2 linked regions of the Styela clava genome follow. The protein of the gene in region 1 purifies or fractionates together with the protein of each later gene. This does not show direct contact. Links are inferred from orthologs where the notes say so. Each region holds a gene or a part of one and is shown in the gene's direction. Other genes may lie near its edges.

Evidence for each region. Proteins that work in one complex are often made in the same cells at the same time.
Region 2: the proteins of serine/threonine-protein kinase ULK3-like (region 1) and hsp90 co-chaperone Cdc37-like purify together in Homo sapiens (affinity purification with mass spectrometry; 3 studies listed by BioGRID and IntAct, with this or other methods). This does not show direct contact. The link is inferred for Styela clava from reciprocal best matches to the Homo sapiens genes ULK3 and CDC37.

Annotation. Positions count from the first base shown.
Region 1 is NC_135257.1:17,387,793-17,394,802, forward strand, and holds the start of serine/threonine-protein kinase ULK3-like, read left to right. Parts: upstream 1-4,000; 5' UTR 4,001-4,099; coding exon 4,100-4,243; intron 4,244-5,572; coding exon 5,573-5,716; intron 5,717-6,474; coding exon 6,475-6,595; intron 6,596-7,010. Other genes in the region: NADH dehydrogenase [ubiquinone] iron-sulfur protein 4, mitochondrial-like, read left to right, coding at 268-347, 1,029-1,132; ADP-ribosylation factor-like protein 15, read right to left, coding at 1,446-1,616, 2,301-2,509, 2,835-2,894, 3,056-3,200, 3,450-3,503. UniProt on the Homo sapiens protein: Serine/threonine protein kinase that acts as a regulator of Sonic hedgehog (SHH) signaling and autophagy.
Region 2 is NC_135253.1:13,560,479-13,567,939, forward strand, and holds hsp90 co-chaperone Cdc37-like, read left to right. Parts: upstream 1-4,434; 5' UTR 4,435-4,450; intron 4,451-5,112; 5' UTR 5,113-5,155; coding exon 5,156-6,265; 3' UTR 6,266-7,151; downstream 7,152-7,461. UniProt on the Homo sapiens protein: Co-chaperone that binds to numerous kinases and promotes their interaction with the Hsp90 complex, resulting in stabilization and promotion of their activity. Inhibits HSP90AA1 ATPase activity.

The DNA of each region.
Region 1 (7,010 bases):
TTTCTAACTCTTAGTACGATGTGCCACACGGCCTATTTTTATGCATTTAATGGTGGTAATGGTACGAAAGTACTGTACTTTAAATATAATTATCAAGTGATACTGTTCGCCATAAACTATTGTTTTCACGAAATATATTTCAGTAGTCTTGTGGTGATAGCCACACATGGATTTACGTGTTTGCAAATGGACCAGTGGGAATGGGGTTTTCTTGGAAACAAAAAGTTTGCTTCTAATTGCTACTAACATAGTTTCTAATATTCTCAGTTCTGATCCTCTCTCAAATATATCAATGGCTATGAGTTTCAAAACCAAAGAGCATGCAATGGAGTTCGTGGAGAGGCAAGGTAATACACTTAATTTTATTTAATTCATTGTACCTGATATTCGTTATGGGTGTTCATTGCCGAATACTCCACAATACAATCATGTCACCATCAAAAATCCCCAGCTATTCCAGTGCAAACAGGAATTTCCCGGTCTTATGGCTCATTTAATATTATTACACAATAATTTCTAGTAATAATCGGTGTTAGTTGCAAAATTCATATGGTATTTACCATTGATATCAGTCATTTTGAAACTCTTCTCCCCAAGCTGTTGAATTAGATGTTAGAATCTTGCTGCTCGATAACCAGTTTTGGTTCCCCCGCTTTCCTTTCCCAGTAATGTAAATATCATTTTTTGCGTGATTTTTGTCTTTTTACAAATAAATTTGACTCGATATTTATATAATGTTGCAGTGACTCCGAATTAGTTGATTAAAAATATCCTTGGGTTTGCTCCTGTTTATTTTCACCCTGAAATACCATTTTCCACATTCTGTAATTTCAGAATGGTAGGAAAGTAACTTCTGATTTCCTGCAACACTTAGAAGCCTAAATCACCAGTTTAACGTTCTTAGCCCATCTAGTCTTCAGCACCAAAGTAGCGATAATACCCTTTGACGTGGAAACTAGAAACACTCTTATTCTCCCAACTCCACTGGCTGATATTAATAACCTACGTAATATTCTTCGAATATTTAGGATGGTCATACTTCATAGAGGAACCGGTTGAAAAACAAATGCAGCCGAAGTCATACGCAGCTAACTTTTCTTGGGATAAACGTTCAAGAAGAGCAATGAAATGATTTGTCATAAGTCCTGTATATTTATAGATATTTTTGTTCTCTTGTGAAAAAATAGGTAATAAAACTAAAATGAGATACATGCACAGTGTAAGCTGATCTATGTACTATTTTTCTGTAAAATTACGACAGCAATTGGTCATGATACTTTTTAAAGTCAGAATAATACTATCATGCAAGAAGATATAGACCAAAAATGGGGTTATATGAAATCAGCTGGTTACAGTATTGTCTCCAAATCCACAAAAACCCTTTTTCTCGAGTTATCAAGCGATTTGTTCCACATGCAATAATAAATTTGCGTCCCCAGTGCTTGTCACACAGCATCGAAAGTTTCCCTCATTTCTGGGTTATGAATTTCATTCAGTCTGTTCCCAAATCTTTCAATAATGGATCTCAATCCATCCGGATTAGTCTTTGAACAGGACTTGACAATGATATTTGGTTTTTCTTTCAACATTTCAGTAAGATTCATTTCTTCTACAGCCTAAATAAATTATAGCATGTCTTTATACAAAAGCCAAGTCATTTGTGCAGGTTAGCATGAATTGGTTAAGAATTTATCTTGATCCAGACCAGGAGTATGCACGCATGGCGCTTGTCAACACACGAGATTTGCTTGAAAAGGCGCTCAACATGGGCAAAAATAGATGCGATCCAGAGCAGGAGTGTGTGGCATGTGGCCCTTGTCAACACTCAAGATTTTTCATATCGAGCATAAAACTTTTTAAAAAGGCGCTCACATGGGTAAAATACATGTTTTTTTGCTCTTGTAGCTGCGTTTTGCTTGGCGCCTTTGGAACTGTAAGGTTAAGGGATAGCTGCATTCTTTTTTCTATCTAGATGTCCCTAATTTCGTTGCTGCAGGCTTTTAGAATGCTGGTTTACCACATTATATTGTGATGTACCGTAATAATAAATTTGTTGTGTGCATAGAAAATTAAACTTTTTGTGCGACCCAGCTAGATATGTCTTATGTTGGTAATATGACACGCCCCGATCTAGACAATATTGTTTAAAAGCCTAAAGTGTTCCAAATATATTTCTATATGAACAAGATTATGCTCAATTCTCATACATGTTCAGATAGTTTTTTTCTCAAATTTCTGTGCATTGTACCGCTATATCCCTGATCTAATGGGTGAAAAAATGCAATATAGTATGCACTTACTCTCTCCTCTGTACATGCACCCTCCAGATCTTGTTTATTGCAAAGGATTAGCCAAGGTTTAGTTGAGAGTTCCGGGTTTTGTATTGCTTTATATAATGCATCTGTTGTCTCGTGAAGTTCATCTTGTGTGCAGGAACCATCAACAACAAATATAACACCTTGAACATCATTAAAGTATCTATGCCAGTACTGTCTGATTGATACCGCACCTGAATAAGATAATAAAGACATTTCAAAATCATACTTTAAACTTAGATGAGCGTCTCACAGCTAATCTTAGATGCCTCATGAAAGAATACAAAGAATTTTAAATTAATGACGTTACTCCATGCACAGTTTGAACAAGGTTACCGTCACTTATATGGGAATACTATGTTGTATTGACTCGTTTCATTAGGGACAATGTGCCAAATGTTCACTCTACTTAGCCTATCAATCATTAAGCAAAAGCAGGTTGTTCTACATTCCATATTTTAAACAAAAATTTTTCCAAATGTCATATAATAATCATAATTGGTCATATTTAGAACAAACCTCCAAGTTCTTTTACTTTCAACACAGCATTTGGCAGTCTGATGTCTTTGATGATGAAACCTTTATGCAAGAAATATTAGTCAGGGATTTGAGACTGACGTTAAATTGAAGATTAGATTCGAAATTTTTCGTTAAACCAACATAAGGCAAAGCATAGTAAGTTATATAATATACCATAAATATAATAATATATATATATAATATACCAAAAAATAACTCACCGACAGTGGGTACAATTGCATCAATGTTTTCTGATGTAAGGACACTCAGTAAAGTAGTTTTTCCAGCATTTGTTATTCCTAGGCATAACAAATCATACACAGGTATTGCAGGAGGTTCTTTGATACAGCAGCATTTCTGGTACACCTGAATAGTGATATTGGATTACCTCTATAGCACTTTGCTTCAAAAAATAAGTTATTTTTGCGATTTATTACAAAATGAGTTTAATACAAAAAATATTAAATAGCCTATACAAAAAATGGGGAAAAGCTTAAAAAATAATTTAAAATCGAATTGAAAGGAAACATTTATTCAAGTGAAGATCCAAATGATCTGGACTACCTAAAACTGTAAAACGTCACCGGTATACAACGATTAAAGTTGCAGCCTCACCGTGAAACAACAGATACGACAAACTCCACAGCAAATTGCTGGCCATTCACTCATCGCATCAAAAGACTAGCCTGTTCCAGTCTTGAGTATCGCGGTTGTAAAATTAAACCGGACTGCAATGATCCAACAGACGTTGAATTCCTTCGACGACAAGCAAAACAAACAGATATGTCCAGTGTTCCTATATATATATATACCCTTTGGTGTTCCCAATTGAAAAAAAATCCTACGCGGAATAAATACAAACTGATTGATTTATCTTTGCTCGGTCGCGTGACTGCACAATACCAAAATATTATTGAGAGCTGGACCTCTGAAGACGTAGACCCCGACCGGGGAGTTACCGAATTTTTCTATTTTAATATTCTGCCCTCCATGCAGTGTACCTAACAGCTACTTTCAACAATTACAATTGCTTTTGAAAATTCTATAATATGCGCAAATTAAAAATGAAGACTTTTGGAAGCTAGCAAAGAGTTGAAAATTAGAAAAATATCATGTGCCCACTCATAAAAAAGTCACAAAAAATACAGACCCTATTCAGCAAGGCTTTTTGATGAAGCACCATTTTATCTACAGGTATCGTAAATATAAAAATACAAGAATTCAAAATCCTGCCATCAAATGTCTGGATGTAAGGACTTGTCAAGATGAATCATGGGAATTCCAAATTATCAGAACAATCTCTGGGATTGAAAACAAAACCACATCAGCAACCTAACTTGGATGGATTCGTGTTTACAAAGCGCTTGGGAAGCGGAACATATGCGAATGTATATAAAGCTTATAAAAAAGTGAGCATAGTTATTTTTTGGGTCTAGTATAGTTTAGTACCACAGGTACTTCTGTACTTCCGGTGGGCGTAGCATAAAGAATTTTGCATATGCTATTCCTAACCCCCACCTGACTATGTCATCCAAAAATTACGTCTCTACGAAGTCACCATCACGTCATAGGGATTGCCAAAGTATAATTACGATCGCCCGAAATGACATCTGCGCCGCCGATAACGAACTTGCTAAAGCCGGCGATCTCTCTCCTATAGTGATCGTTGTGACGAGAAAACGAGAGAGATTGCTTGCTCGATTTCGGGTGATCGTCTGTGCGTTTTGGACGATCATCCGCATACTTCGGTGGGCCTTATTACGCCACTGTGACGTCGAAATGATGTAATTTTTTGGTGGCGTAGTCAGGTGGGGGTTAGGATTGACATATGCAAAAACTGTTGAGCCAGGTCAACTAGAAGTACATGTGGTACTAAACTATACCAGACCCTATTTTTTAACAATGCTTGTTCGGGCTTTTTGCTTCGAACAGGAGCCTATACCAGGGCTACTCTAATGGCGAACCGCGGTCCGAATCTGGACTTTTCTCGAGTATTTGATTCGGACTGCAACTGATTCTTTATTTTGGATCATTAGCCCCACTTTTGCAGCTTCTTTTTATAAAATCACTTTGATAATTTTGAATATTATGAAAAGAACTATAACCCCATAATAATCAATCTTGATTAGCTAATAATCATTAGCCAGCCAAGAAAATGGGCGTTTAAGGAAGCGGAAATATATTTTCTGGAAAGACCGGATCCAAATAATTTTGAAGTTTTGTATGCGTACCTTAGGTGAAAATAGTTGAGCATCCCTGCCCTATACAATCATCCACTGTTATATTTTGTGCAAGTTTCAAATACTTTTCATACCTTCACTTCAAACAAGGCACTAGACAAGTAGTGTGTGTTACGTCGGGAGATACCATACATTTGATATCTGTGGTGACAAAATTGGGTTCAACATTTCCACCTAATTTATGATTTGTTACCTTGTAAAACGTATCTATGAATGTGAAAAATTTGAAATATTGCATTGCTAATTTTTGGTTGAAGCTTTTAAATTCAAGATGTGGATGATAACGTCAAGGGTATTTCATGACATCTGTCCACCATGTATGTTGTAATTCATGCTACCTGTTGTTTACACGTCCCTCTATGAATTTCAACCAACTAAATATTTTAACACATCCTATAGACTGGACAATTTTCCTATTTCCACCTGACTTGTCAAGCTTTCTTGTCAAAATATCCAATCTTATTCTTTCATAATTGCATAAATAATTTTATATTTCAGAGCAGTGATCAGCGAGAAGTCCATGCAATAAAATGTATCAAAAAATCAAGTCTAAACCGAGCATCGATGGAAAATTTACTTGTAGAAATAGAGATATTGAAGCAAATCGATCATCCTCATATTGTTAAAATGCTCGACTTCCAGGTAATATTAATAGAATAAATACTTTGCCATCTTTAGAAAAACTAAAACAGAAGACACTGCTCAGGCATCAGCTTGGAAGGTTATGTAGTCGGACTTGACCATGATTTTCCAAATTCTTTCATAAGCTTTAATCAAATTCAAGTGGGAACACAGTTTCAGAAAACACCTTGAAACCCTCATTATTCTCTCGGCTCTTAACTATTTTCAATTTGGAACCAAAGTTTGTGTTATTGTGAGTCGGTCACAACTGGGTCATTTATTTATCCCTAGGCAAGGGAAAAGATGAAAAATATACCTAATTATACGTAAATATCTTTGGCATCTTACTACCAGATGGTTGTTAGATAATCTGTTTTGACAATTGGTTGCTTTTATAGGGTTACTATTGTACCATACATATCTAACCAATTTTTTGGGATAGGAAGTTTATAATTCGCTAATAATGCCTAGATTAATACTTTTATTATCTATTTTATTTTTGACTATATTCCTCTTTGGGTTGACGGCTGTTACATTAGCGTTACTATAAAACTATTTATAAATATTTTGGTTTTGTTTGTCAACTTTTTAGTTCGCATTAGATGCTTTACTGAGCCATGCAGGCTTATGTAAAGCCATTTGAGTAGTACTAATTTTGGAAGGAGCTCAGTACGCCTGATAGAACCAGCAGATTTGTCAATTTCACCTGTGTCAAATAGTTTGTTTCAGTGATTGATATTATTATTGAACTGAAGTTATTGTTGTGTTCATTATTTTAGTGGGATTCAAATTACATATATATTATCATGGAATATTGTGCTGGAGGAGATTTATCAAGATTTATTTCAACAAGAAGAATGTTACCTGAATTTTTTGTGAAAAGATTTTTGCAACAAATTGGTAATTCACTTAACATTATTACTTTTAGGTTATTGTTATAGTTCATTTTGGTAGTTATGTAAGGATTTTAAAATTTGATTTTTTGAGTTAATTTCACAATGTTTAGAAAAATTGTAATTGTGAATCTATAAATTTTTTTCAATCAATTAAACTCAATTGATTAAAATCAGAGAAGAAGTTTTTCACATTAAAATATTTCCTCATCTTCTGGAAAACCAACACTACACTGTTATATTCTCAAATGACTCAACAAATAATACCTTTTTATTCTCATTCGAACTCTTTGCAATAAATTAAAAATTAAAAAAAATTTTTTTTTAGTACAAATTAGCATTGGTATCCAACTTCTAAATTTATAACCCTTTTGACTTGGCATGAGGCATAATAATCTGTCATTTGTTGAATCAAAAAAGAT
Region 2 (7,461 bases), on another chromosome or scaffold:
CGCCAAATTCATAAACAAATAATAGTAAGAAATAAACAATTACCTGGAAATCGGTTAGGCCGCGAGACGAGGCCGTTTATCTTTCAGTTTCGTAGCGCACATAAGGGAACTACCTGAAAATGATTTGAAAATGTTCCTTAGAAATTTAGTAACAAATAATGAATTGTTCCCATTTCCACAGGTTGCACGTTTTACGGAAAAGACGCTTTTACTACAAGAAATATGCGCTACGATCTGCATGATGTAACAATCAAAATTGGCCAGCTGTAGGTGGATCCCCTGTGGTCGGATGAATATCAGATGTACTGCTCGCTTTTGCGTTGAGTAGCCTTTCCATACGGTAGTTTTTTCAGGTATTATTAGGCTAGTTGATTTCTTCTAAGAAGGTGTTAAAAAGTATAAGTAAGCTATTAGACATTTGTATATCTTTACCAAAGATAGCAATTTCAGTTGAGCACTAGATTCAAAAAACGGTAAATAGCTAGGGTACGGTAACTCCCAAGGTATGCTAGACCTAGAATAATATGTCACAAACAACGACTAACATACAATATTTTCAAGTTTGTTAGAAAGATTTATGATTAATTTAATGACGATTCTTGACTATTTAGCAGACTTATACTACTATCATAGGCTACTCATTCACTCATTTCTTTATCTTATATATATTTTATTTTATCCCATTTGCATTTACCCATGGTACTATATTATGCCATGATAACCTTATATACAGCATTTACAAAAGGGTCGGGAGCCTAGATGACCTTAATCGGTCCTGCACACTGACCCGCACAAAACAACAATCAATCGCTGTTTATTACTGATGAAATATTTTCTTCATTATATTATTATCTATTATTGTTTATATTAGTGTTGATTTTGTTTTTGTGGCAATAAATCTCACTCTCTTACGACATATTTGTTTCAGAAAATAATGGCTGTTTCTGTAATGCACGTTTGTGTGAAAAAGGGGAGAATAATCAATATTACTTATATCAGTTGGTCTAAATTCATGGAGTCGACAAGAACCTGGGAAGCAATGATAAGTTATGCCGGAGTTGAAAGAAAGTAGCATTGAAGCGATTGAGAGGTAAGAAATCAAGTTGTAGACCGACAGTTGATGTTTTAAAATATAGGCCATAGGGCATTTCAGACTGTGATATATAGAGATTCAGTGAAGATATAGTCTAGTATGCAAACACTACAGGACTGTAGTACATCAGATAAAATGCATTATGTATGAGAAGTATTAGTCAGTATTTAGGGGTATTTTTACACTCATGCTGTTCCAAATATGATTTTCTCCCGCATTTTAGATACTGTACTACAAAAGAAAACGGCAATGTTCCACAAATTCAACCTAACGCAGGCTTTAATCCCCGCTGCTATCAGCTCTATACCTGTGAAAATAAAATGGATCGAACAAGAAGTCTTGAAGAAAAGCGTAAAGGTATATGAGAACATAACAGTTGCAAACAGCTTAGATGGGCTATTAATATTGAAATACTTTGGCATTCTTCTGCACTTGAAACTGCCCATCAAACTGATGTTGGAGGACTCGAAATTCATTGAGTTTTTCCGCAACTATAAAGATATTTTGAGGTTAACGAGGCCTTATTAAATAAAGCTGAGGAATTTGTTTGTTCACTGCATGAAGAGGATATGAAGAATGTAAAATGATACCAGGGCACGTCTTTTCAAAACTGGCAAACATATGGATTATACTCTTCCACCCAACAATCATTCACTGAAGAAGCATGTTCTGAGTACAAATTACTAGACAAGGATTCATCCTGTTGCCTAGAACCAAGGGGAATTATTCTCCCACCTATTGGCCATGAATTCATTCTTGATGATGGTGTTTTGCGGGTTAAATTGATGGATCTACTTACAGCCCCCAAATCAGTTCTTGAGTTGGCAAACTGCAAGTGTAAGCTAAATAGGCGTCAAAATAATTTATGCATGTGTGCCAAAAACAACCTAAATTGCACAAACTTTTGTTTTTGTATAGACGGCAAAAAACACAGTACACTTATTGAAGAAAAGTCGATTTTCGAGAATGTGGATTTCGAAGGCAATTCAGAAGAAAGTGAATTAGATATTGAAGTTGATTCAATAAATATTATTTATTAGTTTTTTTCAGACATCTGTTAGTGTCGAAAATCCTGTTTCTATAAATAATATTGCCTTTGTTTCAAATACACAACCACATAAACTGAAAAAAGTCTAATTGTAATATTTCTGTTCACTACATTATGTACATACTGTATTAATTTAATTTTCTCGACTTTTTCGGTAAATTTCTAAGTGAGAAATACCTGATTTATTTGGGTTTTTGTGCTCGCGATTGTTGATTTGTGACTTCATTGCTTAAAAATAAATACGTTTAATAGCTTCTATGAAATAAATGCAATTTCTTATTATGTTTTTTGTTGTAAACTGCTTGTCTGAGGAAGTCTGATTTTGGTCAGACAAAACGTGACAGAAATACATTTGTGTTAGTGTGCAACAGAGCTCTTGAATTGCATAGTTCCTATGCTATGTTATTGTGAACCTATGGTTATTAATTTTTTGGAAACCCCCTTATGTACAATTTCGCATCAGGATTGTGAAACAAGCTGTAATGCAATGCGTTCAGTATGTTCATTTTCATACAAAACTAAAGTATTTATTTAGTTACCAGATGTGCGCTACAAAACTTATTTGCTGGGCGTTATTTAAAGCCTCGTCTCACGGCCTTTATCCACGGCAAGGATCTGCAAATGTTTAATAACTTACTTATACTTTTTTACACCGTCTTAGCCTAACTTAACTAATAAAACTAAAAAAGACGATGGAAAGGCTACAAAATAAGATTCATCCGCCTGCGAACAGCTGATCAAATTAAATGTTACGTCATACAGAGGTCTGCGTTCATTGGCCAATGTTGCCGTAAAAGTAGAGAATATAGGGCAGATTGTAGTGCTTATTTCTTGCAGTATGAGCGTCTTTTTCGTAGAACGTGCAACTTTTAGAAATGTGAACAAGGTATTATTTGTTACTAAATTTCTAAGAGAGAGAGATTCATTGTTTTGTCAACCAGAAAACAAACAATGGTATACGAAAAAATATATACAATATTCACAAAGTTAATTCGGTATAGACTGGAGGGAGCGATACGACCATAAGGTCATCAGAGTCAGCTCCCCCCATGTTCACGATTACTTAAAAAAATTCAAATTTTTAAAAACCATACCGTAATTCAGGGGTGCACAACACGTGGCACGCGTGCCAAATTTGGTACGCCATACGCTCAAACGTGGCACGCGAATGGTTTTGTAAAAATAAAAATTTTATTCATGATATGCATTAAAATATCACGTTTCTATCAAAATCAGCAGTTTTTCAGGACATTAAAATTTTTTTAATAAATAAATATTCGTTGTTATGTATTATTATTAAAATTTGTTTGATGTGTGTTTTACGGGACCCCGACCTTTGACCCCCGAAAAAATTTTCCCATACTTTACCAGTGCAATATTTTCGGGGCTATTTTAAGAGTGCTTTTGAGAGTTGGCGCCTGTAAAATGGAGTATGTGTTTCAAACCATCATCATGATTCATCGCATACAACAATCTGTTTTCAAAAGTACCGGTGAAGAATTTCAGGCTAGTCTATCACAGCTATTTCTACACTAATTTTTATTACTGCAATTAAATTAAAACTCCTAGGATCATTGAATTATCTGATTTATATTTATGTTTCCGAAACACAGCTGAAAACTAACGAATAGAGTTCAAAAACGCGAAAACGAGCTAATGTTTACAACCACGCTTGAAAATCTGTCTGAGTGAGGAAAATGTCTGAGCGGATGCGAAAAGGGGGCATTGTTACGTCACTTTTTGCATCTTGCTGATTGGCCGATGTCACGAAATAAACAAGGAAGTCCATGCTCGGGGAAAGGATCATACCAACGATTGTGCATGACACCCGATAAGATTATTTTGAAAAATTTGGCACGTTTCCTCATTTGAGTTGTGCACCTATCTCTCTTATGTTCAATTTCTGTTCAACTGAAACTAGAATAAATCACAACCAGAACATGAGGACAAGGACTTGGCGTCTTTGAGCCTTTATAAAATACAATGTTAGGAATTTTATTTATTTATTACAATTTTATGATTTATGAATATATTTTAGTTCCTTTGGAAAATTTTCACTCCAGAGGTCATAATAAAATTTTGAAATTCCCATATTTTGACCACGACTCCGAAGCCCTGGACCACTAGAGGTGGAATCGTTGCTCTGTCTTGTGTAAAGCCATAATTGTAGCCTATGGTTGAGCAAAGCTTGTATTCAGGTATTGGCTAAATCTTGGTGCTGGGCAGCCCATAAAAGGGAATAGTCTAAGCAGTGTCGCAGTCTATTGAAACAAGGAATACAGCTAACCAGAATATAGTCTGATAGTTGGGTGAGAACTAGGGATGGCATGGGCAATGTAAAATAAGTTACCGTACGGTATTATTTTAGAATATTCTAGAATACGGTACTTGAATAAAATCCAGAATATGCATCCTATTCTATTTTTATTGTCATTCAAATGTCTGAATGTAAGTTTAAACAAAATAGTAAATGTGTTGATGTCATTGTATTTTATAAGAAATAACACGAGCATTTGCAGGGATTGGATTTTATTTGATACCAAATGCTGAAATGGGCATTTGTCTGGACAATGAAATTTAGGAATCTTGACAATAATTTTTCTGCCTTAGAACTGTTATAAAATTTAGGTGATGCTTATACTTACTGATATGATAACTTAGAAATAGATATGAAACAACTTTAACAAACTGAAGAATTGTTAATGCTGTAGTGCGACAGTGCCGAGTGCACTGAAACATTCGGTACCCTACTTTTATCGATAGCCTATTTTCCTTTGATATGGTCTACATAGTGGTAGGCTAGTAGCCAATTATTCAATACAGCAATGCCTGAATGTTGAAGTTCATAATGGTGTGTAACACTTTAAATGATGGAGAATGTACTGATATATATATATCACTTATTTCTGTTTTACAGTAGATTTCTCATCACACAGTCACATCTACTATATTATTCTATCAACTTTTACAGGCAATATAGTCCAGTAGTCCAGTACTACTCACATCACTGCATCATGGCCAGATTAGATTACAGCAAATGGGATCACATTGAGGTCTCCGATGATGAGGATGACACCCATCCAAATATAGACACACCAAGTCTATTCAGATGGCGCCATCAGGCGAGAGTGGATCGTATGGAAGAAAGGAAAAAGGAGAGGGAAAAGCTGGATGAAGAGAAGAATAAAATTGAGGAAATGCGAAAGAAATTAATGCAGCAAACTTTGAAAGAAGCTGATAAAAAAGAGGCTGAATCCAAATTTGCTGAATTGAAAAAACAAGAAGAAAAGTGGAAAAAGAAAGAAGAAGAGCTGGCAAAAAAAGAAAAATCGGAACCATGGAACATTGACACAATATGCAAAGAAGGATTCAGCAAATCTATGATCTCTAAACCTAAAAAAGAATCTGAAGAAAATCTAAACGAGGAGGAGCAAATGCAACGTCAAAAAGCATATGCTAAAAAATATGAAAAGGATCTCAAAACTTATGGGATGATGTCAAAAATTGATGACATTCAGAAATATCTTCAAAACCATCCTTATTTAGTTTGTGACAAAGCTGCAAACTTCCTCGTGATTTGGTGCATCGATTTAGAAGTTGAAGAAAAACATGCTTTGATGGAAACGGTCGCCCATCAGACTATCATTTTGCAGTTTATCCTTGAGTTAGCAAAAACTCTGAAACAAGATCCTAGAAATTGTTTCGTTTCATTCTTTGAAAAGTTCAAAAGAGCTGATGAATCTTATAATACTGGTTTCTATGATGAACTCGCAGCGTTCAAATTGAGAGTGAAAGATCGAGCTCAAATCAGAATTCAAAAAGCAATGGAAGAGATTGAAAGAGAGGAACGCGAGAAAAGAATAGGTCCAGGTGGTCTCGACCCACAGGAAGTATTTGAAACCCTTCCGAAAGAAATGCAAGATTGTTTCGAAAAGCGTGATATTCCAATGCTTCAGAAAATAATCGCTTCTCTCGAACCAGAGCAAGCTAAATATCATATGAAACGTTGTGTAGATTCTGGTTTGTGGGTGCCTGGTGGAGGAGGAGCAGGCGATGAGCAAGATGATGCTGATGATGCAGAAGAGGCAAAAAAAGAAGAAGAGGTTTATGAAACTGTTGATTAATTTATTATGTTTGACTAACAGTATAATACTTTTCCACTAATTTTATATGTTTAAAATATTGTTACTCACAATATTCATCACTACCATTGACTTCTGTTCAATTCAATGAACTGGCTAACCTAACCCATTTACATTTGTGTGAATGAATTAAGTGCAGACAATTTTTTTCAAATTTGGTGTTTATTGCATGTATGACTATCCTTTATGCCAAAAAGAAAGCTACCCAGTCAACTGATTTTCATACTGTATTTCTTTTATCGACCAATTTAAATATGAAATTGTTCAGAATTTGGGGGTATGTAAAACAACCTGACTGAACATAATATTCATTTTGATAAAGTCATGTTTGGGTGTCAATCTTAATTTCCTAGAACAAAAACAATGACTTAAACAAGTTTAGTTATTGGACACGTATTGGACATAACGATCGTTTCAAAATTTTGTTGTTATTGTTATTATTTGTCTCCGTCAACACGTTTTGAAGAAATCGCTTTCCTCTTCGAATACTGCACCAATTGCTTTGGAATTTTCAGTGGTTGAAGATAAAAATTTCCTCCAGAAGGCTATTACTTTTTTTTCTCGCTATGACGTCATCAAAATTATGTGACTCTACGTGTCCATATATTTGAGCATAGCTCTCTTGTTTATATAGAAGGGAATTATAGGGTACAGCTTGGTTTTGACCATCTTTTGCTGGTATTAAATTCTGTTTCCGATTTGCTAAGGCTGTATTATTGACTTTACTAGTGGAAATGAGTGATGACCCTCTGTAATTCAGTGAATATTTATCAATTGTGATTATCACGTGATAATGTTATTTGTTTGATAACATGGTAAGATGCTGCCAATAAGCATTTAAAATGTAAATATGAATTTGCTTTTTAGACATCTATTTACTAGTTGCCGAATATTGTTCGATCAGCTAATTACTCACAGCAACAGAAAGTGTTAATGCTAACTTCTGTGTGAAGACCGACAAAATTCAGGTTTACTATGTTTATAATTGATTTAATTTTGTATCTGTAATATTCCAATATATGTTATCGAGAACATGCTCTGATATACAGACCTAAATACTTATTATAATTAGAATGTTGAAAGATACGTTTGACAAAGTCATCACGCAGGAAAGCTTTCTATGACCAATACCCGAGGCTGAATGTATTTTACAAAGCTTTTGTCGGATCTTGTTTGTT